Canis lupus familiaris: one gene and its partners. The protein of the gene in region 2 interacts with the protein of the main gene of each other region in a biochemical or structural test. Links are inferred from orthologs where the notes say so. Each region holds a gene or a part of one and is shown on either strand. Other genes may lie near its edges. The genes, in order: RAD18, UBE2A, UBA1, RNF20 and RNF40.

Region 1 (5,358 bases), on a different chromosome or scaffold from region 2:
GAGGGAGAGGCAGACTCCCCACTGAGTAGGGAGCCCACCAGAGGCTCAATCCCAGGACCCTGAGATCGTGACCTGAGCGGAAGGCAGATGCTTAACCAACTGAGCCACCCAGGCACCCCTTGACCCCAAGTCTTTTTTTCCTCATAATTCACATCTTGCAAAACTAATTTTTGGAAGATTTTGGGGTCTGGTCACATAAAAGAGACTGTGACATTTAGAACATTTTATTCACAGTACCCTGACAGGCCAGTTCCTCAATGTGGGTGACAGCCCTTTACCCATTCTGTGTTGAATCATATCAGAGTTGATTCAAAGAGTACTCCTCCCTTTGATGTCTTCAGATTCGCAGGACTGTTTTTTTTTTTTTTTAGATTTTATCTATTTATTCATAGAGACACCCGGTGTGGGAAGGGGGAAGAGAGAGAAAGAGAGAGAGAGGCAGAGGGAGAAGCAGGCCTCATGCAGGGAGCCTGACGTGGGACTCGATCCTGGGTCTCCAGGATCACACCCCAGGCTGCAGGCAACGCTAAACCGCTGCGCCACCGGGGCTGCCCAATTCTGAGGACTCTTAAATGCATTACTCACTTTCACTAAATCATGGAAGAAGGATCAGTGTTATTTTCATGTTTGGGGAATCATCTATCAAGCTCATGTTTTAAAATTCTGGACAGAAATTGTTCATTTCTGCTAGTGCTTTTCATCGTAAATGTCAGTGAACAAACAGTTTCTCATTTGAATTTCAGTCATAAGTTTAATTGTCTATCTTTGATAGAAATAAATGTTTTAGATACAGACTTAATGAACTGTCCTTCACAGTGTGCTTGTATAAACTCCTATAAAACGTTTCAGCTCTTGCTACCCACTGTGACTTTATTTAGCTGTAATTTTACCTGTCTTGTGGAGCCCACCAGGCAATTTTCAGAAATGTAATCTTTTGAGGGTTTGCAGGTCTTTCTATAGTTAAATAGTTATCTCTGGCTTTTGGGTGTTATTGATAGAGCATAATAGAAATAATTTAGCCAAGGAATGGTACTGTTGGTTAGTAGAAAAATGTTTGGTTGTTTTCAGTCTATGTATATTCAACTGTATTATCTCTCAGTATAACCTTTGTGCAATTTATGTCAGATTTACCCTATGGAGGCTTGTTAACATAGATTTTAGGTCTCTAATTTAGAACTTAATCTTTGCTACGTAGGTGATGTGGAGACATGACCAAGAATCTGCAATTTAATAAACTCTCCTGGTGGTTCCAAGATCCACTATAGTTTGTGTAGCATGGCCTTGAAGGCGAACTAGTTATATGCAAGTCCTCTGTAAAATCTTGGACTTTTTTTTTTTTTTTTTTGGATAAACCATTTACTTTCAAGTATTTATTAATTTTACTGGAAACTTTGGTATTTTAATTTTGAAATTATTGGAATTGTAATAGCTACTTTGAATGCATATTTATTAAGCACTTAATTGCCATGGTGTTGTGCCAAGTAATGTACTCAGCCAGTTTATAAGATTAAGTAGATTAAAGCTCACTAAGGAGTCCCTGTTTATAAAATTATCTCGAGTCATTGATACCCTTAGGTAGTTTGACTTCTATTCCATTTTGTAATGTTTATTAACTGCTTTTTTGAGGGAGCAGAAGAAAATAATTTAATAGGGCTTTGCTATATTAAATTATAGTTTGTGCTTGTCAGCATATTAATTATATAAGTAGAATGAAGAGCCAGGTGGTGGTTTTGCTATTACACTTAAAATCCTTATATATTTAATATAATTAATTGAAGTTGAAGAGAATAAAACCCATTTATATTTTTTGCTATTATTCACAATCATGTTCTTTGAAGATGATGCCATAAGAATATTATCTGCCTGTCAACTTTCAGAACTCTTTTTTTTTTTTAAGATTTTTATTTTATTTATTCATAGAGACAGAGAGAGAGAGAGAGAGTGAGGCAGAGACACAGGCAGAGGGAGAAGCAGGCACCACACAGAGAGCCTGACGTGGGACTCGATCCCGGGTCTCCAGGATCACGCCCTGGGCTGCAGGCGGCGCTAAACCACTGCGCCACCGGGGCTGCCCCAGAACTCTTTTTTCATTGGCAGTAATAAATTTGGTAAAGCTAACCATCCCAACATATCTTTTATTTAATCTAGAGCTTTTGCACAATGATTACCTCCACTTTGAGGGGACAGTTTTGCCTATGGACCAGCACTTTTTCTAAAGTAGCTATATTCTTAAATCCGTAGTCTTAATTTCAGTAGTGTTTGTACTCTGATTTTCCGAGGTAACTGTTTTTTGCAGAGATTTTACATGGAAACCATGGATGTGTTTTAGGACAAACATGCTTTAAAACACTGGAGAATTGAGGATGTCTATGTAAGTGTGTTTCTAAAGTGAGGTTTTCATAGCATTTAGTGCACAAGCCTTCCTTTTTTTTTTTTTTTTTTTTTTTTTTTTAAGATTTTATTTATTCTTGGAAGACACAGAGAGGCAGCAACATAGGCAGAGGGAGAAGAAGGCTTCCTGCAGGGAGCCCGATGTGGGACTCGATCCCAGGATCCCAGGATCATGACCTGAGCTAAAGGCAGATGCTCAACCACTGAGCCACCCAGGCATTCCAGTGCACAAGCCTTCCATGGGCATCTTGGGCCTGCATCTTTAGGCCTGAACTCTTTTTGAGGCCTGTGTTTCTCTAAGGTTGGCTGCCACCTACACCCCGGTATCTGAATGTGCTGTGGGTACCTTAGAATGATATGTCCAGCACCGTCAACTTTATTTGCAAATTTAATTTTTCTTCTCTTTCCCATTTTTATCTTAATGGTTCCACTATCTTCCCAGTCATACTGGTACTCCATCAGAAGGCAAGTTAACTGTTTTATGTGAGGAGCATTTGCTAATTCACAGTAACCCTAAGTGATCTCTTTCTTTCCCTTTTTTAGTTCTATTCACAAAAGGAAGCCTCTGCCCAAAACCGTATATAACTTGCTCTCGGATCGTGATTTAAAGAAAAAGCTAAAAGAGCATGGATTATCTATTCAAGGAAATAAACAACAGCTCATTAAAAGGCATCAAGAATTTGTACACATGTACAATGCCCAGTGTGATGCTTTGCACCCTAAGTCAGGTAAGCTAATAAAGCAATGATTTCTGCTTGTTTTCTGGTTAAAGCAGTTTTGTATAGCTCAGGGATTATAAATCATAGAAAAAAAATTTAATGAATACAATTTTGATAATAGTTGAGACATGTAAATATTTTCCTTCAAAGGTACCTAGAATATACTCTGATAAGCCTTTCTCCCAGCTGGTCTGTCAGCCACTATTCCTTTCTCAGAAGCAACCACTGCTGCTGGTTTCTTTTGAATATCTTTCCAGAGATAGTATGGAATGAAGAGTTGATCTAGAGAGCATGGGTTATAATCCCAGTTTTGCAGCTTTATGACCAGGGATTTCGGGCAAGTTACTTCTCTCAGTTTTCTCATCCATAAAATAAGTGTTATAATACTATGGATTGCATAGTATTTTTGAAAGGAATAAATGAAAAGTGCATAGCACCATACTTTAGCAAATAGTTAGCATTTAGTAAGTGTTATCATTATGATTGTTAATTATACACAAACATATGTCTGGGATTGTTGTTTGGTAAAAATTTAGTATTATAGGGGATCCCTGAGTGGCTCAGTGGTTTGGCACCTGCCTTCAGCCCAGGGTATGATCCTGGAGTCCCGTGATCAGATCCCACATCGGGCTCCCTGCATGGAACCTGCTTCTCCCTCTGCCTGTGTCTCTGCTTCTCTCTCTGTGTCTCTCATAAATAAATCTTAAAAAAAAAAAAAATTAGTATTATATACAAACTATTTATTTATTTATTTATTTATTTTTAAAGATTCTTTTTTTTAAATTTTTATTTATTTATGATAGTCACAGAGAGAGAGAGAGGCAGAGACACAGGCAGAGGGAGAAGCAGGCTCCATGCACCGGGAGCCCGATGTGGGATTCGATCCCGGGTCTCCAGGATCGCGCCCTGGGCCAAAGGCAGGCGCCAAACCGCTGTGCCACCCAGGAATCCCCCAAACTATTTATTTAATGGTTTGTCCTTTTTATTTAACCACACGTATTTTGGAGTTCTTTGAATTATTAGCATATATAGAATTGCCTGATTTTTTAAAAAACTGAAACATAATATACAAACAGAAAAGTATACAATTTGTATTGTTTGGTGACTTATCATAGGAAATTTCACAAACAGAAAATACCTTTGTGACTATCTTTTAGATCAGAACCAGCATCCCAAAAGCCCCTGTGCTCCCTAACTCCAGTCATTCCCACCTTCATTCTCACAGATGACCACCATCTTGACTTCTGACACCAAGGATTATTCATTTTGTCTGTTTTTGCGATGATAAATTCCCTGCAGAGTAAGTGAGCTGAAATGACGTGGGCATTGTGATGTAGTGTTAGGCTGCTCTTGATCTTCTTTTGACAATTTGTCAGAGGAAGATCATCTGCTTCCCAACTGTGGTTATTTGGGAATTACCAAGGCTGTGGAGGCAGGCCACAGCTAAGGGGGGACCTCCTGTGTTTCCATTCCCCAGGTCAGTTAGGCTTCAGTAATACCCCAGGTGATTAGGCTCTGTTTAACTAGTTTCCTGTGAGTGCAAGCCTTGTTAAGAGGAAAGTGCCCTGGTATATTTGAAAATGGTTCCTTTTCCTCTCTCCTTGCTTGAAGCCATAGATTTTTCTTCGATATTTACTGTAAGAAACTTGAACTCCTGAAGGTGAATCTCGCAGTCTTGTCTCCTCTACCATCCTCCAACCACAACTGGGTCTCCCTGGGGTTTTTTTTTTTTTTTTTTTTCCACTCTTCGAGGTATCTGCACAGGACTTCCAACAATTAATTAATTACAGTTTAGGTTTTCCCATCTTTTGTACTGTTCCCTGCTGCAGTTTCTGCTTGTAAGTTTCTGCTAAGGTAAGCCATTATTCTCTGTGTTTGTGGGTCTCCACATTCTTGGGGGCATTAGTTTGCCCTATGTCCTCCCCTCTATTGTGGATCTAAGAAGAATTGCTGAATTTTTAACCTGTTCAGCTTTTAATTTGTTAGGATGGAATGCCAACTTCCAAGCTCCTTCTATGAAGAACTGGAAGTCCATTTCATTTAAATGAACTCTTACAAATCTGTGGCCTTCAATGATGAACTTCTTTGATTTAGCAGAATATTTTCAAGGTTATCCATTATCCATTGTTAGCACTACATTCTTTTTTATTGCCAAATCTTTCATTGTGTGGATATGTTACTTATATTGCCTATTCAGTCTGGGATTTTCTCTCTTTTGGCTCTTGTGAATAATGCCACTATGAATATT
Region 2 (5,827 bases):
ATAAAATCTTAAAAAAAAAAAAACAAAAAGGAAATACTAGTATCTTACTGTGTGTAATCAACAATTTTTAGATGATGTGATGGAGAATACTTTATTCCATAGTTTTTGTATTCAGCATATCTTGATGAGGAAGCATTGCCCCCCCCAGTGTTTTTGTTTGGTAGTATTAAGTTCTTGGGAACATTTTCCTCTTACTTTAAGTGTGTGAAGTTAAATCAAAATACCTTCAAGAGTTCCTTTTCTTAAGTCTTCATCTTTAATTGGGGCCTGGCTGTTCCAGAAATGTCCCCCAGTTTACAAGGAAGCAGCAAAAGTAGTTTTGGGACTGCTGATTTACATAATACATTGGAAACAGCAAAATCAATTATGCCCCTTGTCTCTAACCAGTCTTTTCTAGTAAATGTCCTAATTGTCAATAAAGGGTATTAAAAAATAGTCAAAATATTTTTTGTAGCCACAGTTTGTGTTCTAGACACCTGAGGAAGCATCCACGGATAGCAGACTGCTCAACAGAATGAATCAAAATTGTCATTTAGCTGGAGTAGTTCCTTTCAGTAATGCCAGTATGGAGATACACCATCATCAAGAATAGAACCAGTGATGTCACTGGGGAAGATCCAGGTAGATAATGGATTCCTTAAGTACCTTCTCAATTCATACCACTTAAAACAAGTGAAGCACCCTTGAAATATTTAAGTAGCCAATCCTCCAGCAAAGTGATGTACTATTAATAAAGCTGTGCCCAGCAGAAAGCTGTCTGAGTAAAGTCAGGAGGGAAAAAAAAGCAGCCAATGAAAACAAAGCCTGCCAGAGCTAAAGCAAACACACAGTTAATCTGCACACAATGCTTAGGTATAATGAACTAGCACCAATCTAGTAGAGGAAAATTAAGTCAAGCTAGCTCTTGCCATGGATCAGTTCAAAAGATTTGCTGCAACAAAGTAGTATGCCTTTAGAATCACTCTCTTACTGTCATTTCTTTTTATTGCAGCACTGAAGAGCAGTGACATTTACTCAGGGGGCGGAGATAGAGAGGAGGCTAAAAGTATTCAGGTGACTGTCCATAGTCTCTTAGGGAAATCTGAGTATTGGAAACAAATTAGAGAAATGGTTGATACTGCCCTCCCTCATCACACTTTGTGGACTGGTAGCATCAAAAAGAAATCCAAAAAAAAAAAAAAAAAAAAAGCAATCCAACTCAGCACTATAAAGTATATACTTAGTAGCTTGCAGAATGTTTTTGTTCCCACCTTCAAACTGAGTTCTGTGCATGCGTGTGTGTGTGTGTGTGTGTATCAAGTACTAAATAAGTAAAGGAAGATGGTCATTGCAAAAATTAACAGAAAGATCCTTTTCTTTTTTAAATACCTCAAATATTAAAAATGTCGATCAGTAGTTCAAATACTTTTAATCGTGTTTTAAATGTATTAAGCTTTTCAAAAAACGACTACACAAGCATGCACACAATTGAATGCAAATAAAACTATATCAATGTCAGTTTCCTGGCTGTGATATTTTTGTCACATTTTGTCCTGAATGACAGTCATTCAAGATGTTAACAAAGGGGTGGGAGAATGGGTGAAAGGTATACAAGGTCTCTATTATTATCATTATTAGTAGTAGTAATTTTAACTGCAGGTGAATCTAGAATTATCTCAAACAGTTAAAAAAAAAACAAAACAAAAAGCAACTAACATGTTTTTAAAAGTCAAGCCTAAATCCCTTAAAAATCCTGTATCTACAGGTACACATAGTACCTCCAAGTAGGTTGCACACTCGTCAAGAGAGTACATTAAGGCTCCCCTCAATTCCAAAGCTGCTTTGAGAATACTGACCATAAAGTCTTGATAAAAGCACACCAAAAACTCTTTTAAAAATAAGAAACAACATAATATTCAAACTGGCCATTAAAGGTGCCATTAAAGACCATCTTAGAGCAGTAGGCTGACAGGCATTCAATGCCAGATGGTAGAAACTGGACAGTTCTGTGCAAGGGATTCATGCACTCATCCAAGAAACACATACCAAGCAGCTGCTGAACACAGTTCCTGCCCTTGTGGCAGAATTCTGAACTAGGGGGTCTCTGTGTCTATCAGCAAGTGATCGGGTTGATACTAAGTCAGTTTCCTGATAGGGGGCCAAATTTAGCAGGTTCACAGCCCAAACCCCAAAAATCCTTAACATCAATCTATGATGCTCCTCTTAAAAAGTGATTGCCTTACCCGGGTTGGGGTATTTTTTTTTTCTTTCTTTCTTTTTCTTTCTTTCTTTCTTTTTTTTTTTTTTTTTTTAGCAAGCAAAAAGCAAGAAAAAAGGTGCAGTTCTAGTCAAGCGGACAATGGCCAGAACAACCTGCCACACTCGGGATTCCACTCAAGCCTTTAGCAGGCAGAGGCTAGGGAGAAGCGGGCTCTTAAGTAGGAGGCACTTCCAGCATGACTGGGAACCCCTTCCCCCAGATGATCAGGCTCCTGAAAGGTGGGTAAAGAAACTCTCTTACCATCCTCAAACGGGGTCCCTTCAGGCCTGCAACACAGAGAAAAACAGTCAGTTCCCGCTTAAGGGGCTCCCTTCTCCCTTAAGAGGTTCACCTTAAGAGAGGGCTATTCCCAGCTCCGCCAACTCCACCTCAGGTAAAGCGCCGCTTCCTGGGGCAGGAAGCCACCACAGAGAGAGGTTTCGGGCTCGGCAACCGGGCGCAGGCCGCCGCGCCTAACCGCCACCACTCCCCGCTCCGCCCCCCTCAGAACCCCAAACGGTTCCCCTGGCAGCGGGAACTGAGCTAATCGAGGCACAGGCTCCGGGGAGGCGCCTAGGCCCAGCCGGACCCAAACATTTCCCCTCTCACCCTCCGTCCCCGCCGGGGGCCGGTGCCCTCGGGCAGGCTGGGCCAGCTCGAGTCCCTCACCCGTCGCCACCTCCCGGAACGCAGACTCACCCAAAAATGACCGCGTTCCAAACCATTATGTTGTTCTCGGACGGAGCCCCGCTGACTCCAGCCGGAGGATCCTCCTGCAACCTTCAGGGAAACAGACAGGGGCTCCGCAATCCGGCACTCGCGTCCGCTCCGGGCCGCCCCCCGCCCCCGGCCCGCCTCGGGACCCGCCCTGTGCCCCGCCTGGCAGCCCCCGGCCTCGCCTCAGCGCTCCCCGGCGCGTTACCTCTTGAAGTCCCGCATGAGGCGCCGCCGAGCCGGGGTGGACATATCTCTAGCGGGGTCAGGGGTGGGGCATACACCGAGGTCTCGGGTCCCTGCGGACGCTGAGGAGGCCGAGGAGGCTGGAGGAGCCGAAGCGGCCGCCGAGGAAGCGCCCAGAGGAACGGCACTGCCCCTCCGAAGTCGAGGGTCGGTCTGGCGCCGGCTAAGCACCACCCCGGAGTAGACGGGGGCTGAACCAACCTGGAAGGAGAGGGGGGGTGGAACGCCTAACGCCGGACAGGCCGTACCAAGACAGGGCGGGGGGGGGTGGCAAGGAAAGTTGCTTAGGTCATTAAACCCCGGCGGGAGGCGGGGAGCGCCGGGCGCGTGCGGGAGTGAAGCGAGCTGCCGGCTGCGCGTCAGCCTGGAATTCGCTAGCAATTAGTGGTGGAAGGGGGTCCTTCTTCACCCGCCCGGGCCAAGCCGAACCCTGAGGAAGCTTTCTTCTCTTTTTCTATCTTTTTTTTTTTTTTTAAAGATCAGATCACTTATTACAGTGCGCACTGTGGCTGGGGGCGGGAGGGAGGGTGGGTAGAGAAGAAGGTTGGAAGTCCCCAAGGAGAAGGGAGGCGAGAGTAGGTGGAGGCAAATCTGGCTCTCGGAAAGCGGGAACTCTGGGGACACGGGAGGCTGGGGAGGAGGGTGTGTGACTGGTTCAAACCGCTGAAAATCAAAAGAATAAATCGGCCACGGCTCTGAAAGGGAGCTGTGGGTCCCTTGTCTGGGAGATGAATGTACGGGATTCCGGTCCTAATGTTTTAGGCCAATGATCACCCCAAAGCAAAAATAAAATAGTGGGGTGTGTGTGTGTGTGTGTGTCCTGGGGGAGGGAATGTGAACTCAAGGCAAGCAGAATGAGGTTTTCGCTCTGGGCACTCACAATTTGGCTCTGGAACCACATTTTCCCCTTGGCAGTTCAACAAGCCAAGCGGCTACTATATATTCAGAAGAGTCCAAGGTATGAGAATATCCGACTGCGGAGAATTGGAAGGGCAGAGAGTCTGAAGTAAAAGTAACGGTAAGATGCACGTGAAAAAGCTGCAGGCTGCAGAGAGGAGTCACAGTTAGTATGTGGACCTGCAAAAGCAATAACAGTTTTAAAGAATAGTTTGTAAAGGTAAACCCAAAATAACTTAGAAGGTAGGCAAAACACTCATTTTAAAGAATTTCTGAAAACATGAGAAAGGTGAGTTTCGGTTACATCCGGGAGAGTTTGGAATTCCAAGCTAATGGATTCCTTAGAAGGTGGCTGCACATAATTAGAGCCAGTGCTAGTCACAGATGGGTCCCAGGAGAGCAGCTGGGAGACACTTGAAGTAGTCCAGGTGAGAAACACTGAGCCAGGCAGTGACAACAAAAATAGAGCAGAGGCGGTGAATGGAGAGGACTCAGCGACAGATTGAACTTGGGGTCCAGAGGGAGGAGGGAATCAGCAAAGGCTTGAGTTCTAAGTCCCCAAAGTAAACTGGGGCTTTGAAGGTGCCATGAACAGAGTGGGGAACATGGTGGGGAGGGACAGTTTCAGGACTTACTGAGTTCATGGGACTAGTGAGGCATCTGAGCAAAGACATCCGTAAAATAGCAGATGTGCAGAAATTTGTTTCTGAGGCGGGAGACACTTGACAATGGTAATGATTCTAGCTGCTGCTTAACAGCAGGTACTTTGATGGGCAAGGATTTATATCTCCCATTGACACCAACTTTCCCCTAACAACATTCACACTGTGACTGTGGTGGGCAGGGGGTACAAAAATGAGTTGAAAATCTCCTTTTCCTCTCATCTCGTAATTGGCAGGCAACTGATACACACACAGGTAATCTACAAAAGCAAGTGCATTTGTTTTCATTTGCTATTTAACAGATTACCACAGGCTGTTGGCCAAATTCAGTTCCTTGCAGTTGTAAGGACTGAGGCCCCCATTTGCTCACTGGCTGCCAGCCAGGGACCATTCTCAGCTCTCAGAGGTCACCCACATCCCTTGCCACTTGGCCTGTTCCATTTTCAAGTCAGCACCAGAGAACTTCTCTCCTGCCAATGCCCCCTCACACTTGGAGTCTCAAGAAGAGCCCCAGTTCACTTTAAGGGCTTATCTCATCAGGTCCGGCCCACCCTGGGTAATCCCCTTACCTTTCTATCGTCTGATTTGGGACCTTAAACACATCTGCAAAATTCCCTCACAGAGAACCTAGGTTAGTGTTTGATTGAATAACTGGAAGAAGGTGTGTGGACATCAGTGGCCAGGGATCTTCAAATTCTGCCTGCCAGAGCAGCAGCGTGTGCATCTGCAAATGCCAAGGGGCCACACAGCAGGGGAAACCCTCAGTCTGATGAGATTAGAACAAGCTTCCTGGAATGGGTCTGTTTCAGTTTTCTTTCAAAAGAGGTGATAGCAGGGAGAGACTTCCTGGGAGAGAAGTCAAACAGTTTCTATCAGTGCAACAGAATGAAAGAGTACATGGAGCTCAAGCGTTTTCTGGGGTTATTGCGCAGACTAGCAGGCCTAATGGGGTGGGGGTGGGGGATGCTGAGACCTCTGCTTGCAGAAATGAGGGCGACTGAAGTTGGTTAAATGCCCTCAAATGAAAGGATGACAGGGCTTTAGGTTTCATAGACAGCTTTAATAAATA
Region 3 (5,358 bases), about 51 Mb from region 2:
TCCGGTAATAGCACCCAGGCCTGGGGTCCATCCTCTCAAACAAAACAGGATCTTTCCAAAGCCTAGGTCAGTCACATCCCTCCTCTGCTCAAAACCCTCCTCTGGCTTCCCCCTCCACAGAGGAGAAAATGAGTTAGCCCCTACTTCCTCTAGCTCATCTCCTACATCCCACCCCGCCAACAGGATCCTGGCCTAGGGTGCTCTGAACCCAGAAAAGGGGTCTCTACTCCCTTCTACCCTCCAGGTGTGCAGGACTGAGCCCTTTCCTAACCATTATAATCGAAACTGCCAACCTGTCTTCCAGACAGGCCCAACTTCCCTTAGCTTGCTTTGGTTGTTTCCTTTGCACAGCACTCATCAACATTAACTACAAATTTATTATACTGTATTGCTTGCTTATGGTCTGTCCTCCCTCCTTAGAACCTGTGTTTCCTTGCTGTATCCCAAGTGCCGAAAGCGGTGCCTAGGCCAATGACTACCGATGACATCACTGAATGGAAAGGAGAACATCTTTAAAAAAAAAAAAAAAAAGGGCAGCCCGGGTGGCTCAGCAGTTTAGTGAGTTTAGTGCCATCTTCGGCCCAGGGCCTGATCCTGGAGACCTGGGATAGAGTCCCAAGTCAGGTTCCCTGCATGGAGCCTGCTTCTCCCTCTGCCTGTGTCTCTGCCTCTCTCTGTGTCTCTCATGAATAAACAAAATCTTTAAAAAAAAAAAAAAAAAGAAAAAAGAAAGGGGAACAGATCCCAGGCAGGCAAACAGGGCACTGTCCCCCATAGAAGGCTTCCCAGCTCGAGCCCCTGAATGACCTAGACTCCATCTGGCAGAGAAGAGTGACCCTAACACAAACGTTCTCCTAGGGAAGGCCTACTGGCAAGATCAACCCTTGGTCGGCATCTGGGAACCTGGATTTCCAGAGGGTTCTCACCAGGCCTTACCTTCTAAGGGCAGCTCACTGTACCTAGACTGCTTATGCAAAGTGTGGTTTCTATTGAACTCCTGCTTTCCTTCTGGGAGGCTGGAATTTGGGTATGTGCCCAGTGGACGGTGCCTACGTGACCAGCCCATAGTACAAACCCTGAGTACTGAGTCTCTAACGAGCTTCCCTGGTTGGCAACATTTCACACGTGTTGTCACAACTTGCTACTGGGGGAGTTAAGTGTGTCCTGTGCGACTCCACTGGGAGAGGAGTCTCGGAAGCTTGTGTCTGGTCTCCCCCAGATGCCTTTTCCCTTTGATTTTGCTCTGCATCATTTTGCTAGAAGAAATCATAACTGTGAATAGGGCTAGAAGATGAGTCCTGTGAGTCCTCCTAGTCAATCATCAGACTTGGGGGTGGTCGGGGGGACCCCCCAACACACTGGCCCAACCAGCACTGATAACAGGTCAAAAAGAAAAAGATGAAAAAATGGTAGATTCAACGCAAGGATGCTCAAGAAATGTTTGCTAAAGGAGTGTCGCAGAGAAACTGAAAGAGCTGAAGGAAAAAGATGGAGAGGCCTCCCTCCTTTCCAGAAAGAATGGAAACAAAAGACAGGAGGAAAGGGAGAGGATAAAATCCCACTCCCTTCTCCTCATTCCACTCACCGTGACATCCCATGGCCGGAAAAGAAACTGCCGGTTCAGATTTGACTTCTCAATAGTGTCCATGTCTGTGACAACAATTTCTCCACCCTCCCCACAGCCCAGCCCAATCATGGCGAAGTTCTTGAGCAGCTCACAGCCAATGGCACCTGCACCCACCTAGAAGGTAGCGAAGAAGACAGATAGAGCCTGGTTGGGGTAACACAGGGGAATGTGACAGTATGCATCACTCCACACTCCCCACCCCCTACCCATGACAGAAGACAACAGGAGAGGTGGAGTGGGGCTTGTGCCACATCCTCAAGTCCCAGGGCTATCAGAAATAACCCAGAGCCATCTGAGGGAAGGCAGCGCCAGAGGAGGAAACAGAAGGACAAACAAGGCTTTCTCTTGAGATAAAAAAATGAGTGGCAAAAGGCACGCAACAGAGTTACAAGAACCAAAAGACCCTCCCTTGGGACGCAGGAGACTCCAGAAGAGGGGGCCAGAGGCCCAGGGAGATGAAGGCAGTGGGTGTCTAAGGGGGTCACACTCACTAGGAAGTACTTCTGTTTGCCCAACTTCTCTTGCAGGTCTGAGCCAAACACGGCCACCTGCCCATCATAACGGTTCTGGCGCTGAGGAATGCGAAGGGAGGAGGGTCAGAGTGTGGGGGGAGCCTCGCCAGAAATGCCCCCAATGACATCTTCCCCATGGGCCCCACTCCCATACCGGGTGGCACTTGTCTTCTGTGAGGGCCTCTTTGTCCTCAGGGAGACACTCCAGGGCATCAAAGTACAGCCACTGCATGATGGGCATAAACTTCCCAGAGCAGGCCTGCGGGGTGGGGAGGAGGAAGCGGTCAGTGGTTAATTGAGGCAGATGGACAGTAAGTGATGGAATCAGGGACAGGCCTGGGCCACTGTTGGCCCTGCCCTTCCCCACTGTGCTGACCTTCATGACCTCCTGGGCAGCCAGGCCCCCAATGAAAGCGTTTATAGGGGCCAGATCACCAGCAGCCACATAGGCCAGCTTTCGGATGAGGTCCTCATCCAGGCTGTCCTGCTGCACTGCTCGCAGGGCTCGAGCATTCACGGCCCGTGCCAAGGCCACCAGCTCTGTTGCATCTTCCTGGTGGGGCAGGAAAGACCAAGAAGACCTCAGTCAGGCCACTGTGGGAAGAGGGATTGGGGGGGATGCAAAAGGAAGGGAGAGCAGACAGGTAGAGGCATACATAGGTCACTGGGCCTGGCTGGCCCACCCACTCACCCACCTCATTGCGGGGCCGAGGGGGCCGGCCATGCTGAGCACAGAACTGGTGTAAGGCCTGGAATCCAAGGTGCAGCTGGGCAGGGCGGGAGTACTTGGCAAAGTCTGTCATCACAAAGTCAGGCTCTGCCAGTGAGGCCAGCAAGGATTTCTGTGGGGGATGGGACATCAGAGCCTAGAAATGCCCAGGACCAACCCCTCCCCACCCCCACTACCCACCACACTCACAAAGCTGATCTTCTTAGGTACTTTGACCTGACTGACAATGCCTCCACGGATATAATCGGAGAAGTTGGAGGTGTCACAGATGCTAAAGGTGTAAGGACCTAGGTAGAGGAGGAAACTGTCAAGCTACCGGCCCTCCCCTAAAACCCACAATACCCCCAAGATAAGGCAAACTCCATCCCTGACCCAGCTCAGTCATCAGGAGCCAACTCTCCACCCCAGGTCCTGCTGGGACATCAGAAACCATGTCCCCTCTGCCCAAGACACAGGCTTGCAACCCCCTTGGGCCCTTGGACCCAAGTCTATACTAGAAGACATTCTCTGCCCCTGTCTACATCAGCTTAGACAGGAAGTGGATCGTCTCTGATCTGCTCTGTTTAAACACCAAAGACCTTCCCCCCCGCTTAGCGCAGACGCCAAGGACCTATTCTCCTAGGAATAGCTCAAACACCAGACAGTACCTCTACCCCATGCCCACCAGCTCTGGTTGGACCCAGGGGACTCTGTCCTGGTTCATCTCAGACACCCAGCATGTGTCTTTCTCCCCTCGCTCAGAGCCCAGGGACATACCTCCTACCACCCCTGATTCCTCCTACCACCCCTGATTCCTCCATGGCCTTAGCTCACCCAAGACTTTGATCTCCATGGGCTGACTTCCATTGAGTTCAACCATGCCCTGTACTTCTGAAAAGGAGACATAGTCGCCACTCTCAAACCCATGTCGGGCCTCATCCAGGCAGGTGACCACACCGGGGCTATCCTGATTAAAGGAGGAGTGAACCTCAGAGGCAGACTCAGGGTACCAGGAGCAGACAGAAGGCCTGCTGCTGCCCATTGGCATTCTAGGACCCCTGAGGCTCATCTCCTTACCTTAGTGACCATAGAAACCATAGCACTGAGTGGCTGCTCCCCATTGGAATCTGTGAGGATCATTTCCTCTCCAAAGTCACAGAAGAGCTGCCTGTAAAGGGAGGCAACAGGGCTGAAGCCCCAGAGTCCCATGCTCATGGGGACCGGACATATCCCTTGAGATAGAACAAATACTTGCTGAGCAAATTCAGTCCATCACTGCTGGGAATCACACAGCACTCATGTTACGTGGGGAGGGGTGGACACACAGAATCTGAAACCCGGGTGGCCAAGGGGCAAGGCAATGAGAGCTTAGGGGTCTTGGCGCAGGCCTGGCAAGGGTCGGGGGATGAGGATAGGGGCACTCACCCAAACAGGCCCCGTGTGTCTGCCACCACCAGCTTGATACCACGGCTGTGACAGAACTCACCGACCCGCAGCTGGTCCTCCAGGGGGGTGTTGGTGAGGACCACCACCTGTGGAGAGGTGGAGGCTCAGGACAAGGGCCCAGCACTGGGGCAAGAGGGAGAGAATAATGCAGGAAGGCCGGAACCAGGGGGGACTCAGAAGAGTCCTTAAAGCTTTCACAGAATTATCTACTATGGTTCCGTGGATACTGTCTCCCAAAGCATCTACTACGGATCACATTCGGCCAGGGTGAAACCCAGCAAAAAGAAATGCGAATCCCTACACCAGGGCGGGCAAGGTAGCAGACAAGGTAATGAGGCAGCCAGGAGGGGAGAGTGTAGAGAGGAGCTGACTCATTTACGCATCAACACCCACTGCTGCCCGCCTACAGGCCTGCCTTGCCCTGGGAGACACAGAAGTAAACCTCCCTTCACAGCCAAAGTCTGAGCTCACTCCTACCACACCCATTTGCTTCCAATTCTCCAGACAATGCCTGCTGAACCAGGTACCTTGGGACTTTTCTTTCTACCCGAATGCTCACCCTTGCCCACCAGGGTGAGCTCCTACAACTACTTCAGGTTCAGCAGCAGGGTCCGGCCACTGGGATGCCCCAGGGCACAAACTCAGCTCCCATAGCTCCTCTTTCGGGCTCAGAGTTTTTATTTAACAAATAACCAGATGGCCCTTATCATGCACCAGCTGCTATTCTAAGCACTTAGCCCTCACAGAAACTCTACAAAGTAGGTACTACTACCGGTCCCAAGTCCACAAACAAGAAAAAGAAAACAAAGCAGAAGAGATCAAGTGACCTGCCTGAGATCATACTAATAGAACTGGAGACCCACTCAAGGGCAGTCTGGCTCTGGCCTGTGCTCATAATCACTACGCTCTATGGCCTGCCCATTCACACCCCTGCCCTCCGAAAAAGCAGGTCCAGGGTCTAAAACCCACCTGCATCTCCAGTGTGAAACCTGGCACACAGGCTGGCCCATTTAATAGAGAACAAATGATCAAAGGAAAAGTGGGTTTGGAGAAAACTGGGCAGG
Region 4 (6,145 bases), on a different chromosome or scaffold from region 2:
AGCTGGTATTTCTGAGTGTGTTCTTCGTGTGCGGCGTTATGCTTAAGTTCTCCCTGTACTTACTCATCCTTTGAAAGGGGCACGGTAATAATACTCTTATCCCTGGGATAGGAGACTGAGCCTCAGCCTCAGTGATGATACACGGCTTGTTCAGTATTAATGATTCAGTAGACACTTCTCAGGTCGCTTTCAGCTCTGTGTTGTCCCCAACACAATAGATTTGGTTCCTGTCCCATTCAAACTATTATTCTGATTCTGGCATTTCAGGAAGTGAGATTTCTCTTTTTTCTTAGTCTCTTCATTCTTTGCCCATTGTCCCATTTGTCTTACTCCTTATCAGCATCCTGTTTAGAAATTAGTAGTTGCCTAGATTCAGCCCTGACTCTTAACTCCACATTTCACTTTTTTCTTTCCAGGAGGAATATGGGGATTGTGTTCCTTGGTATGAAGTTCATGGATTTAGGTTAAGAGGCTGGCAGAAAACTTGCTAGTTTTTACTTTGGAAGTGATCTCTTTATTGTTGCTCTTCTTTCATATCTTACCAAAGTTTCTGTTTTTTTTTTTTTTCCCCTCTCCAGGAAGACAGCTATCATCTGGTGCCAAGATGTCAGGAATTGGAAATAAAAGAGCAGCTGGAGAGCCTGGCACATCCATGCCTCCGGAGAAGAAGACAGCCGTTGAAGATTCAGGGACCACAGTGGAGACAATTAAGCTTGGAGGTGTCTCCTCCACGGTATGTGGAAACAGTTCTATGAGAGCGTGCTTTTCTTTTCTCAATTACAAGCTGAAAGTAAGAATTTATGGAAGCCTTCTGGTCTAAGAAAAATTTATTTGAAAAGAGGGAAATAAAACAGGCAGAAGTAGGTGAAATGATGTGGTCAGTTCTGAAAAGAGTATATTGACATTTGATCTTTATTTCCAAAGGTATGCTTCTGATCTCTGGAGAGTGTGGTGCCTGATACACATTGATTATAGGCATTCAACAGTGGGAAACTGTACAGTCATTTTTCATTCACTGAAAAGTTAGGTGCTAGGTACTAAGAGGCGGTGTTCCAAAATCACTGAGAGAGTTGTGATGGGTCACAGTCTGAGGCCAGACTTCCTGGAATTCACTCTCAGCACTAACACTTTCTAGCTGCATGGCTTATCCTCCCTGTGCCTCTTCTCCATGTTTATAAAATTTAATATGGTACCTACTTCATTGGGTTGTTGAGATGATAAAATGAAAGAGCCCCTGTTAAGGGTCGAAATGTTACCTTTAATATGTAAGTACTCCTCCATATATGTGAGCTATTAATAATAATTATTGGGCTAGGTATTATGACTATCATGGTGAATAAGATAGATACTGTCCTTGCTATTATGGAGTTGACAGATTCATTAGACTGTTCTACACCAGAAGCTTAGAGTAATGTTATATGTCCATTAGACATCAGAAGTTCACTATAATAAGTGTGGATCTAGATTAGGAGTCTGTATTCTGAAACTCAGCCATGGGGATATGGTGTTAAAATGCTACATTTGTATAGCTTATGAAACCACATCTCTTCCTTATTTGAATTAGGCTCAAGATGAAAGAGAAAATGGGAACATTCAGAGTAAATAGTTGATGAAGTGTCATTTCTGAGTCTGTCTGGGGTTCAACTACTCTGTACTGCTGCCAGGAGGTGATTTTGTCTTAACACTGAATCACGTTATGCATCCCAAGGACATTTGCTAATTCAGTAAATATAAATATTTGTTGAACATCTGTTATTTCTAAATACTATGCTTTACACTGAAGACAACCCCTGGACTTCAGTTTGTTAAGATGGCACTGCCAAGAGACCAGACTGTTCTAATATTTATGAGTGGGAGATGTGATGTTCATAGGGATAAATAGCCATAGGCTCTAAGGGAAGCAGACAGGATTCATCCCAGTTTGGACATTATCCACAAGTCATTAGAAGGTCTTAAGCAGGAGAGTAACATGCTCTGACTTCTGCTTGGAGAATAGATTATAGAGGAGCAAGATTTAGAGGTTGAAACGTTAGCAAAATTGTTCCCTTGTTCCTTCGCCCTCTTCTCCTTCCCATTATGGGTGGGGAGTTGGGACATATCTCCACTGATTCCTGCCCCAGTTGGTTGAAGGTTGCCTTTATAGGCAATATCTCTTCTTCTGCACTTCAAGGTTGCTGTAGTGAGCCAGCTGAGATTGTGGAACAAAAGTTGAAAAGATTCCAGGTGGCTTGAGGTGGGAACACTGCCTGTATGAATGGAGCTGTCCACCACGGCTGTGCTGAAGTCTGGGAGACTGACAGGACATGGCATGGGGAACAAAAGTGTCCACTACAGGAGACTGTTGCAGTAATCTTTTTTATTTATTATTTTTTTATTGGAGTTCAATTTGCCAACACATTGCAGTAATCTTGATGAGGGATCATGGTTGCATGGGTCACCCTGGAGGTAGTGTTGACAAGATTTGCTGGTGGAGTGGATGAAGTTTATGAAATCCCCAAATTTGTAAGTATAGACTGTCCACTTACTGAGCTAGGGAGAAGTAGGAGAGGAACATACTTTTTGGGAAGCTGTGGAGGATGAATCAGGAATTTGATTTTTGACATGCAAGTTTGGGATACTTATTAAACATCTGAGTGGGTAGGTGGTTGAATACTATAATCTGCAGTCTGAGGAGAGGTCGGGGTAACGCTGTACATTTGGGAGGAGGTATTTAAATCCATGAGACTAGAGGCTCTAAGCGAGTGTAGATACAGAAGAGGTTTGATTGAGAACAGAACCCTGAAGCGCTGTGATGTTTTCATTTCAAAGAGATGCAAAGAGACAGAAAATGAAGTAGATGGAGAACAAGAGTGACTGGGGGCCCAGAAGTCAAATGAAGAGAGTTTCAGGAAGGAGTTGTTCAGGTGCTGCTGATGGTTTGAGTAGGGGGAGCATTGAGACATTTGGTTTAGCAGTGGAAGGTTCTCGGGAGCCTTGATAACTGTGTTTATGGAGTGGTAGTGCTAGAAGTCTGATTGGAGTGAGCTGAAGAGAATAGGAGAGGAGAGGAATTAGAGAAAAGAGGGTAGAGACCGTGCTTTGCAGGAGTATTGATGACTTTGTCTTTGCAAGACAAAGAAATGGGGCATTAGCCACAGGGAAATGTGGGGTTTAGGGAAAGTGGTTTTGTTTTGTTTTTACGATAGGAGCTATTACAGCAGGTTGATTGAAATTATTTGGTAGAGATGATAAAGTTGATGAGGTAGTAGAAAGAGGAGATGGTTGCTGGTGTGAATTTCATGAATAGGGGAGAGAGCATGGCATGTAACATACAAGTGGGGAATTGGTTTTAACTGGGAGCAGGGGCAGTTGATCCATAGCAACAAAGAGGAACACAGTGATATGAGTTCAGTTGTAGGTAGGTCAGTAGTTGCAGTTATGAGAGATAGATGTGGACATTCTCTCCTGATTGCTTCTATTTCTTTTTCAGTGAAATCAGAGGCGACTCATCTGAGAGTGAGGATGGGGGAGGAAGTGTTGGAGGTTTGAAGAGACAGGAGAAGGTATGAAGTAGTCATCTTGAAGAGGGAATGGACTAGAGAGATCGAGTATTGTTGCTGGGCAGCACTGAGGACCTACCTGACTCTGTGATCATGAGATAAAGTGAGCCCAGGCAGCACGGTACTTTGTTTTGTGGTCACATTCAGCTGCATGGATGTAGGCCTGGAGTAGTGGAGAGGTGGATGATACCACGGGTGGGGTTTTTACCAGGTAGGTGTGGAGAAGGAGCAAGGAAGGAAGAGGTTCTAAAAGGAGATGATTATGACTGATCATGGAATTCAAGTTCAAGAAAGAAAGGGAGTGAGGAAGTGAGAGGAGTGAAGGATGGGAAAGATAGAGGACCAATGATTGTAGGTGCTGGAGAAAGTGAAGAATTGGAGGAATCAGGGAACCCGAGAGAATGAGCTGGACAAGTAGGTGGTAATTGTGGAAAATGGGGTGTTTGAAATTCAGCTTATAGAGAGCATACACGTACAGCTCAGGCTAAGAATAAGAATAACAGAGTTTGGTGGCTGAGGGAGGTAGAGGACAATATCATTGGAGGAAAGGAAGTCAACGACTTGAGGATTTGAGATACAGGAAAGATCATCTATATGGGAATTGTAATCAGTAAGAACCGTGATAGTAGTAGCATTGGAGAGTGATAAGCTAGGTACTAAATCTTAAGGAAACATGGGGAAGTAATCGGCACATTTATAGACCAGTGCAGGAAGGCAGGGTGGCAGGAGGATGCCTGCCTGTTTCTGGCCCAGGGCAGTGCTGGAGAAATGTGCAGGGAAACCGTATTCTCATCCTGGTTTCAGTTAGAGCAAGAAGGGGAAAGGAGGGCTCAGAGAAGAGGTTAAGGATATCTTTTATTAATGGTATTAATAACTATACGTTTGGAACTATTGACTAATTTGGCATATCAAGTGTTTTAACACTGGAAGAAGGAGAATAAAATGGAAGAAGGAGAATAAAAGCAAAACAGGATATTGGTGCTCTAATAAACAGTGCTTACTTTAAAATATTCATGAACTTCGAGGTAAAGTAAAAGTGTAATCCTTTCCAATCCTTTGTTTCTGTGCCAGGGTTCTCCCTCCCTGACCTCTACCTCCCAACTTGTCCTAGGGAAGAGGTTAGGGTGAAAAGTTAAAGATACTGAGAGAGGTGTGGAATTACTGATGGAGTGATATTTTTGCAGAAACAGAAGGGAATGAGATCCTGAGCACAAGTTGAGGTCAAGTATGGAAGATAGTGGAGATAGAAGGGATTGACAAGGAAAAAGGAGAGAATTAAAATCCTGGAAGATCTAGATGAGGATTGGTATATGGGGATAAGGGCACAAGGTATCTGGAAAGATAAGATTTTATTCAAGGAATTTAAGGTCTCAGTTGTGACAGAGTTACAGATAATGACAGAAGTCCAAGATATGGCCTTTGAAATGTGTGGCTGAAGCACAATGGGGGAGATACTCACTAGAGTTAAGGAATTCAGAATGCAGCGTAGCTGCTAGAGGATTCGATGGTCTGTCCACATGTGTTCATGTCCACATGCATATTGCGCTCACTGCATATGTTGGCAGGCACTGGGGCATAGAAGGGCCCAGGTGCCGAGGTTCTTGATCGAGTGAAGGGCAGTGCTGAGGAGATGGGTGGCAGCATTGATCAGGGTGGAAGGTGCTCTGACTGAACAGTGGAGCCTCACAGGACTTTGTGGATGTCCATGAGAAAGAACAGTGAGATGGGCGAAGTCCAAGTCCTAGTATATGAGTGACATTCTCACTTCCCATCATCGCAGATTCTTTCCTTTTCTTCTTCTGTTCCTACTTCTTATCCAATGATTTGTTATAAGATTTAAAAAAAAAAATGAACAGCTTTAGTCATAGCAATAACGAATTAATGTGACCTTGTTGAATTTAACAGCTGATTTGCCTGATTTCTTTGGGGAGACTAATAAAATCGGTTTCCCGGGGCAGGAGGAGCTAGACATTCGAACACTGCAGACCAAAAATCGCAAGCTGGCAGAAATGCTGGATCAACGGCAGGCCATCGAAGATGAACTCCGTGAGCACATTGAAAAACTGGAGCGAAGACAGGCCACTGATGATGCCTCACTGCTGATCGTCAACCGGTACTGGAGTCAGGTAGCTGCCTCATTCATTTGCTCAGGTTTTTATTTGAGCATTTTTGTTCTCAGCACTCTTCATTTCTCAAGTTGTGTTCTTTTGGTTTTTCATAAATGTTGTACCCACCCTTCTCAGTTTGATGAAAACATCCGTATCATCCTTAAACGGTACGATCTGGAGCAGGGTTTGGGAGATCTCCTCACAGAAAGGAAAGCCCTTGTCGTGCCCGAACCAGAGCCGGACTCTGATAGCAATCAGGAACGGAAAGATGACCGAGAGAGAGGTGAGTATTTGTAGTGGATCTACCACCACATGCTGTGTGGGTGTTGGAAGTAGAGCTTTGCTTTCAGGATTTCTATTTGAGGCAAGAAAGAAGACTTTGGTATTTCCACTTTTATCATGTTGACAGCTTTTTTTTTTTCCCCTCTGTGTCCTCAGGGGAAGGGCAAGAGCCAGCTTTCTCTTTCCTTGCTACTTTGGCCAGCAGTTCCAGTGAAG
Region 5 (5,969 bases), on a different chromosome or scaffold from region 2:
TGCCTTTGGCTCGGGTCATGATCCCGGGATCCTGGGATCGAGTCCCACACTGGGCTCACCAAAAGGGGCCTGCTTCTCCCTCTCCTATGTCTCTGCCTCTCTCTCTCTCTGTCATGAATAAATAAAATCTAAAAAAACAAAACAAAACAAAACAAACAAAAAACAACCTGCAGCTTACATTAAAAAAAAAAAAAAAAGAATGCCAGCCAATACAACACACTCCCACTCCCATTTGTCTCTCTCCTATCCTTTCTTTTTTGGGGCAACTATAACCACCTGGCGTACTATCTTACTTCCTGTTTCTCCTCCAACTAGAACCTGAGCTCCATGAAAACTTTGTTATTTATCTATTTTGTCCTCTGATACTGCCTGCTTCTGAGCACCATGCCCAGCACTTAATGTTAACAACTACTTACTAAATACGTAAACAAATGAATGAAACAGACCCATGAGGGACAGGGAAGGGACTCAGAGACCATGCAATGGTTTGTCCTTAATTGTGAGGAAACTTTTATAGGTGAGGCAGAGAAAAGGGCACAGGAGGGATGGGAAAGAATGGTGCCTGCTCACCTTCTGCATGCTGAGTGTGATCTGACCCCCCTGGAAACCTGAGGAGCTCCCAGATACGTAGTAGCCAGAGTTGAGCTGTGGAGAGACAGACCGATGGGGGTGGAGGAAAGAAGCGTGGGTTCCGAGTACTCAGCCGTGGCTCCATCTGACCCAGCAACCAAACCCCACCTGCTCCAAGGCCTCCGCCAGGTGTTTATTGAGCTTCTGCTCACGCTTGCGCAGCTTCTCGATGTCCCACTGCAGATCCTCCACTGTCGTCTCCATCTCCAGCACCTTGGTCTCTGCTGATGTCACTTTATCCTGGAGCTCAGAGTACTGGAGACAATGATCGGGTCAGATACTTAGAAGAGAGGACTTGGCTCCCTGAGAGCCTTGGTGCACATCTAACCCAAACCCTGCCCTGGTTGTAATCCCACCTCCAATGAGATGCGGTGGTGCTTCTCTTGTAGCTGGGTGGCCAAGTCCTGCAGCCGCCGGTTCTCACGACCCAACTCCCGGGTACGTGCCCGAGCCACCTCACCGGGGGGCTCACTGTCCCCTGAGAAGGCAGGGCTCGGGTAAGAGCCAAGTCCAGGGCAATGGGGCAAAGTACTAACTCATTCTGGAGTCTGCTATGTGCCCAGTGTGATCCACCAGCTGTCTTGCCAATTTCTCATGACAAAGCCAGGAGTCTTTATCCCCACTGCACAAAGGAGGAAACCAGCTCAGAGAGGAGAGCCATCTGCCCAGAATGCCCAGTCTAAAATGACAGGATGAGGGCTGTCAGCCTGCAAGGCCTAGACACTTACTACTATGCCTCATGAGTGAGCAACTGCAACCAAAATCTGTGCAAAGTGCTCCAAAGAGGTCTTCGGCTGGAAGACAGTGGCCCCTTAAGCATCAACAACTCCTCCCACCCAGCTCACTAGAACTCAACCCCGTGAATCAAAAGCAGAGCCCCCTCTACAACCTACACTTTTCCCTGAGAACGTGGCTGATTCATTCCTTGGAAAATTATGGCTGCCTCTGGGCTCAGGCATTTAGGGGATACAATGAAGACACAGACAGGGATAGACACCTCTGCGGTAGGACACACAAAACTAACCTCGGCTGTATACTCGCTGACAGAGTTCCTCCACTCGGCGCTGTAGGCGGTCTGAGGCCTCTACAACACGGGACACAGCTGCCTTGGAGAACTCCATTCGGCCCTGCAGCTGCAGCTCCACCTCCTCACTACTGCTTGCGCCCAGTGCTACCACAAAAGCCAAAGCTGGCTCACTGAGGGGGGGCCGCAGCTGCACTGGTAGGGGCTCTGCAAGGAATGGACAGACCCTCGTGAGAATCTCACGAGGGGACCAGCAGCAGTTACCACCACTCCATACCACGTTCTAGACCAAGCCCTTCGCCACTCAATGCTCAATGAACCAACACAAGCAATGCCTGTAATACACTGGTATTACATAACTACGGAGGTTCAGGGAGCTAAAATAATTTTAAGGCCACAGGACTTCCAAATCTTCCTCAGAGAAGCCTTTTCTGCCTTCTCTATCTAAATTAGAACCATACACATGAGTGCATATACACGAATTCTCTTTCAAGAGTCCCTATCCTTTTTATTCATGATTTAAAATCACTTTCTCTCTTGGGTGGATCCCTGGGTGGATCCCAGGGCGTGATGCTGAAGTCCCAGGACTGAGTCCCACATCAGGCTCCCTGCATGAAGCCTGCTTCTCCCTCTGCCTGAGTCTCTGCCTTTCTCTTGCTCTCTGTTTCTTTCATTAATAAATAAATAAAATCTTAAAAAACAAAAAACAAAAAACTTCCTCCCTGATGGCAGAGGCAAGATTTCTTATCTTTGTCTCTTCTGAAGCTGTTAACAGTACTACCTATGTAGATAACACAAGATACTGACAGTTTTTTGAACTAAATGAGTGTCAAATACGACATGCAATACGAACCAAGTCACTCAGATTTCAAAGCCTGGGGCCTTACCTAACACTGCACTTGCTGTCCAAACATCATGAAATCGTTGTGTGTGTGTGTGTGTGTGTGTGTGTGTGTGTGTGAAGGGTGGTGGGGAATTCAGTAGAGTAATATGAAAGTTCCCTCCACTCCAGGACCTTTCCCAGAACTTAATTAAGCTGCCCAGATCCTAGGGCTCTGGCCCTACCCCTCAGTTCCGATGTCCCTGGTTCTGTGAGAGGGGTCTCATCACGTGCTGGCCCCTCCTGGGTCCCAGGCGCATCTGTCCCTGAAGACAGCTCCCCCTGGCTCTCATGGTGTCGAAGAAGGGCTTCCACAGTTTCATCCAGCTGAAGGGAGAAAGCACCAAAAACGTTATGAATCTCTCAGGTGCTTCCCAGCATGATACTCCTTTCCCAGCAGAGTAGTCTGAGGATTGGCAGCTGGATCGAGGCCAGGTCTTGGAAAGCAGAGGGGCATCCACCTGGGCCCAGTAGCGATTGACAATGAGCAGTGTGGCATCATCTGTGGCCTGCCGCTTCTCCAGCTTCTCAATTCGTTCTCGGAGTTCATCTTCACAAGCCTGTCGCTGTTCCAATCGCTCTGCTAGTTTCTTGTTCTTGAACTGCAGAACCTTCAGGTCCATCTCCTCCTACCAAGAAAAACAAAGGGGCAGAGGAGAGGGTCAAATAGAGCCCAAGAAACCAGTCACAGAGAGAGGCAAAAGAGAGCAACTGGAATGGACACAGCAATGGTATCCCCAGACTAACCACTAACAGAATTTAAAGAGGTTCTGACACCCCCAGAGAAAGCATCTTGATTGTGAGGAGGGTCAAGTCCTGCTTTTGCCTCTAGCTCTCAAGTCTTTGACAACTCACACTCCCTTTGGGAACCTGTTTCCCTATCTGTAAAAGGAAGGCAGACGTCGTGTTCTCGGTTTCCTTCAACAGAGGATTCTGTAAAGTGGCTCCTGCTAAGCTTGGGGAGCTAGGATGTAAGGTTCTGGACGATCTGGGCGGAAACCAGAGATGGGGAGGCTGGCAAGTTGTGAGGACTGAGGCAGGAGCCCACGAACCGTAGAAGAGATGCCCCCAAGACGAATAGGCTCTATAAGCGTGGTCGTGGTCTTCTCCTCGCGGCTCAGCTTCTTCTCTGGGGGCCCTGAGCCCCCGTCGCCGGCGGCGCGTTTGTTGCCGGGTCCAGACATGGCCGCGGCGGCGAGGAGCGGCGCAGGGTCTCCCGAGGGACGTCAAGCAAGCGTAGGCAGCACTTCCGTCACCTGCAGAAGACAGAGAGCAGAGATGTGGAGGCGGCCACTGCTCCGCAGCTCCAAGCCTTCCCCGCACACACCTGATGGATCCCTCCCCCGCCAGCCCCGGGCCCCTCACCCGCAGCAGGCTCAGCCTAGCGCCATCTTGGACTTCACCGGACGTCACCGGCCTCCTCAGCCAAGAGCGCAAGCGCCGCAGGCAATGCCGGATGTGGCGAAACTTCATTTCCTGTTTCTATTGGTCGCGCTTTGTCCCGCCTCTCGGGTCTCCTTTGGTTTCTTCCTGAACACCTCCTCTCTCTCCCAGTGATTGGCCAGTAGACAGTTCCCGTGGCAACTGACACCACACTCACAACCCCTAGCTCTAAGGGCATCACCGGCATCCTGTTAGCCGCTTTGAAGCCAGGGCACCCAGACGGCGCCTGAAACTTATTGCGCATGTGCATTTCCTTCTCACTGATTGGCGAGCGTCCTACCCTTGCTCCCTCCCACCACGAGCTCCCTTAGCAACGGTCGCCGTTGAGACGGAGGGAGACGCCCCCTGCGGATTGGTTACACCGGCCTCTCTGCGGCGTAGATTGGCTGAGGCGTCGCTGGAGGGAGGGCTTGGCAGTCAGTCCCGGCCCCAGAACCGGCTTTCCCAGGACCCGGGCGGGACACAGCCTGTGGTGACCCGTGACGAGGAAGAGCGACGAGATGATCCGCCAGAAGTCTAGCCAATTCATGGGGCTGAAGATGCAGTCGGAGTTTGAACAGCCCTCCGAACTGCAGCGGGAACTCGAGAAGGACCTCAGCTCTATGGAGGAGTCCGTCACGCGGATAGCAACAGGTGTGCGGACCGAGTCCGGGACCGCGGCCGGCACCGCGGCCTCGGTAGCAGCGGATGAAGATCCTGCAGCCAACTTGTTCCCGGTGAGGGCGGGACAGAGTGGTCCGCTCATGTTTGTAGAAGGGCTTCCCGGCAGGGTGCCACCGTCCTTATGCTTTTTTTTTTTTTTTTAAGATTTTATTTATTTATTCATGATAGTCACACAGAGAGAGACAGAGAGGCAGAGACACAGGCAGAGGGAGAAGCAGGCTCCACGCAGGGAGCCCGACGCGGGATTCGATCCTGGGTCTCCAGGATTGTGCCCTGGGCCAAAGGCAGGCGCCAAACCGCTGCGCCACCCAGGGATCCCCCGTCCTTATGCTTATTAACGTTCAAGACGTTTCCTGGGTGCCTTGGTGAAGAGGCAGGGGTGTGTGACTCCGATTGTTAAATGCTCATGAATAGTAGTACTTACGGCCTTTTGAAGCCCGGCCTGCCAGCGTTGCTCATACATAACCTTTAACATGAGAAGGCAAGTTAGCAGGTTCTCAGGCCCGCTGGAGATTCCCGAAGGGTCAGGGACTGGGGCCATGGACAGCACGGCTCCGCCTGCCCAATCCGCTTTCTCTCCGCAGCCGCCGTTGCCCCAGCCCCGGATCTGCATGTGGTGAGTGTGAAGTCTTGGGGAAAAGTTACACTTTACACTTGGCATTACTCCTCCCCAACAGTCCTGTCAAACAGCTAGGGCATTCCCCATTGTACAGATGAGGAAACTGCAATTATCCAAGTTAAGTAGAGCCTTCCTGCCTCCCCAGGCCAAAGAAGGAGGGTGGGTGGGAAGGATAGAGCCAAAGACTAAGGATGTAAATGGAATATGGACTGCTATGGAGCACTGTATAAATGAAGACACTGAAGCCACATGGGGCGTGGAAGAGTCAAGAATTCAAGTTTCCTAATCCTCAGCTTTCTAAATGAAGAGGATTGTAAGAATTCGTTTAAGCCATATCCCTTATTTATTTATTTATTTTATATCCCTTATTTAAAGATGAAGAAAGTTATACCCAGAGAGGGTAGTGGAAGGGCTAATCTTCAAACTCAGGTCTCCTGGTTCCCAGTCCAGTGTTTTAGCCATCCTAGCCCTGTCATGAGACTAATGCCTGACGGCCACCAACACCTTTTCTCCTCTTTTCTTATTACAGGAAGTATTTGGACATCCACTCCATGCACAGGCTGGAGAAGACAGCCAACACTGAGGAGATGAGGGAGTATGGGGGGACACAGGGGCGAGCAGAGGAACTGGCTCCTGGGGGAGTCTAAGGGGGCTAGGCTGAGAAGGCATGAATGCCTGCCTCCAGAGCACATGGTGCACCAGTGTGGGGT

The links.
Region 1: the proteins of UBE2A (region 2) and RAD18 form a complex in vitro, tested with the Homo sapiens proteins (12 studies listed by BioGRID, with this or other methods). The link is inferred for Canis lupus familiaris from reciprocal best matches to the Homo sapiens genes UBE2A and RAD18.
Region 3: of the proteins of UBE2A (region 2) and UBA1, one has a biochemical effect on the other in vitro, tested with the Homo sapiens proteins (6 studies listed by BioGRID, with this or other methods). The link is inferred for Canis lupus familiaris from reciprocal best matches to the Homo sapiens genes UBE2A and UBA1.
Region 4: the proteins of UBE2A (region 2) and RNF20 form a complex in vitro, tested with the Homo sapiens proteins (4 studies listed by BioGRID, with this or other methods). The link is inferred for Canis lupus familiaris from reciprocal best matches to the Homo sapiens genes UBE2A and RNF20.
Region 5: the proteins of UBE2A (region 2) and RNF40 form a complex in vitro, tested with the Homo sapiens proteins (3 studies listed by BioGRID). The link is inferred for Canis lupus familiaris from reciprocal best matches to the Homo sapiens genes UBE2A and RNF40.

Annotation. Positions count from the first base shown.
Region 1 is NC_049241.1:9,272,583-9,277,940, forward strand, and holds part of RAD18 (E3 ubiquitin-protein ligase RAD18), read left to right. Parts: intron 1-2,934; coding exon 2,935-3,119; intron 3,120-5,358. UniProt on the Homo sapiens protein: E3 ubiquitin-protein ligase involved in postreplication repair of UV-damaged DNA. Postreplication repair functions in gap-filling of a daughter strand on replication of damaged DNA.
Region 2 is NC_049260.1:92,286,229-92,292,055, reverse strand, and holds the start of UBE2A (ubiquitin-conjugating enzyme E2 A), read right to left. Parts: upstream 3,408-5,827; 5' UTR 3,206-3,407; coding exon 3,162-3,205; intron 3,020-3,161; coding exon 2,939-3,019; intron 2,527-2,938; coding exon 2,501-2,526; intron 1-2,500. UniProt on the Homo sapiens protein: E2 ubiquitin-conjugating enzyme that accepts ubiquitin from the ubiquitin-activating enzyme E1 and transfers it to a E3 ubiquitin-protein ligase. In vitro catalyzes 'Lys-11', as well as 'Lys-48'-linked polyubiquitination.
Region 3 is NC_049260.1:40,995,860-41,001,217, reverse strand, and holds part of UBA1 (ubiquitin-like modifier-activating enzyme 1), read right to left. Parts: intron 4,381-5,358; coding exon 4,274-4,380; intron 4,017-4,273; coding exon 3,926-4,016; intron 3,816-3,925; coding exon 3,683-3,815; intron 3,157-3,682; coding exon 3,059-3,156; intron 2,982-3,058; coding exon 2,835-2,981; intron 2,693-2,834; coding exon 2,516-2,692; intron 2,399-2,515; coding exon 2,294-2,398; intron 2,200-2,293; coding exon 2,119-2,199; intron 1,742-2,118; coding exon 1,586-1,741; intron 1-1,585. UniProt on the Homo sapiens protein: Catalyzes the first step in ubiquitin conjugation to mark cellular proteins for degradation through the ubiquitin-proteasome system.
Region 4 is NC_049232.1:58,595,684-58,601,828, forward strand, and holds the start of RNF20 (E3 ubiquitin-protein ligase BRE1A), read left to right. Parts: upstream 1-2,223; 5' UTR 2,224-2,254; coding exon 2,255-2,346; intron 2,347-3,469; coding exon 3,470-3,542; intron 3,543-5,497; coding exon 5,498-5,665; intron 5,666-5,782; coding exon 5,783-5,930; intron 5,931-6,085; coding exon 6,086-6,145. UniProt on the Homo sapiens protein: Component of the RNF20/40 E3 ubiquitin-protein ligase complex that mediates monoubiquitination of 'Lys-120' of histone H2B (H2BK120ub1).
Region 5 is NC_049227.1:17,572,932-17,578,900, forward strand, and holds the start of RNF40 (E3 ubiquitin-protein ligase BRE1B), read right to left. Parts: upstream 4,055-5,969; 5' UTR 3,900-4,054; intron 3,791-3,899; 5' UTR 3,719-3,790; coding exon 3,587-3,718; intron 3,164-3,586; coding exon 2,996-3,163; intron 2,862-2,995; coding exon 2,720-2,861; intron 1,862-2,719; coding exon 1,655-1,861; intron 1,109-1,654; coding exon 987-1,108; intron 886-986; coding exon 739-885; intron 646-738; coding exon 571-645; intron 1-570. Other genes in the region: CCDC189 (coiled-coil domain-containing protein 189), read left to right, coding at 4,478-4,693, 5,225-5,256, 5,789-5,854.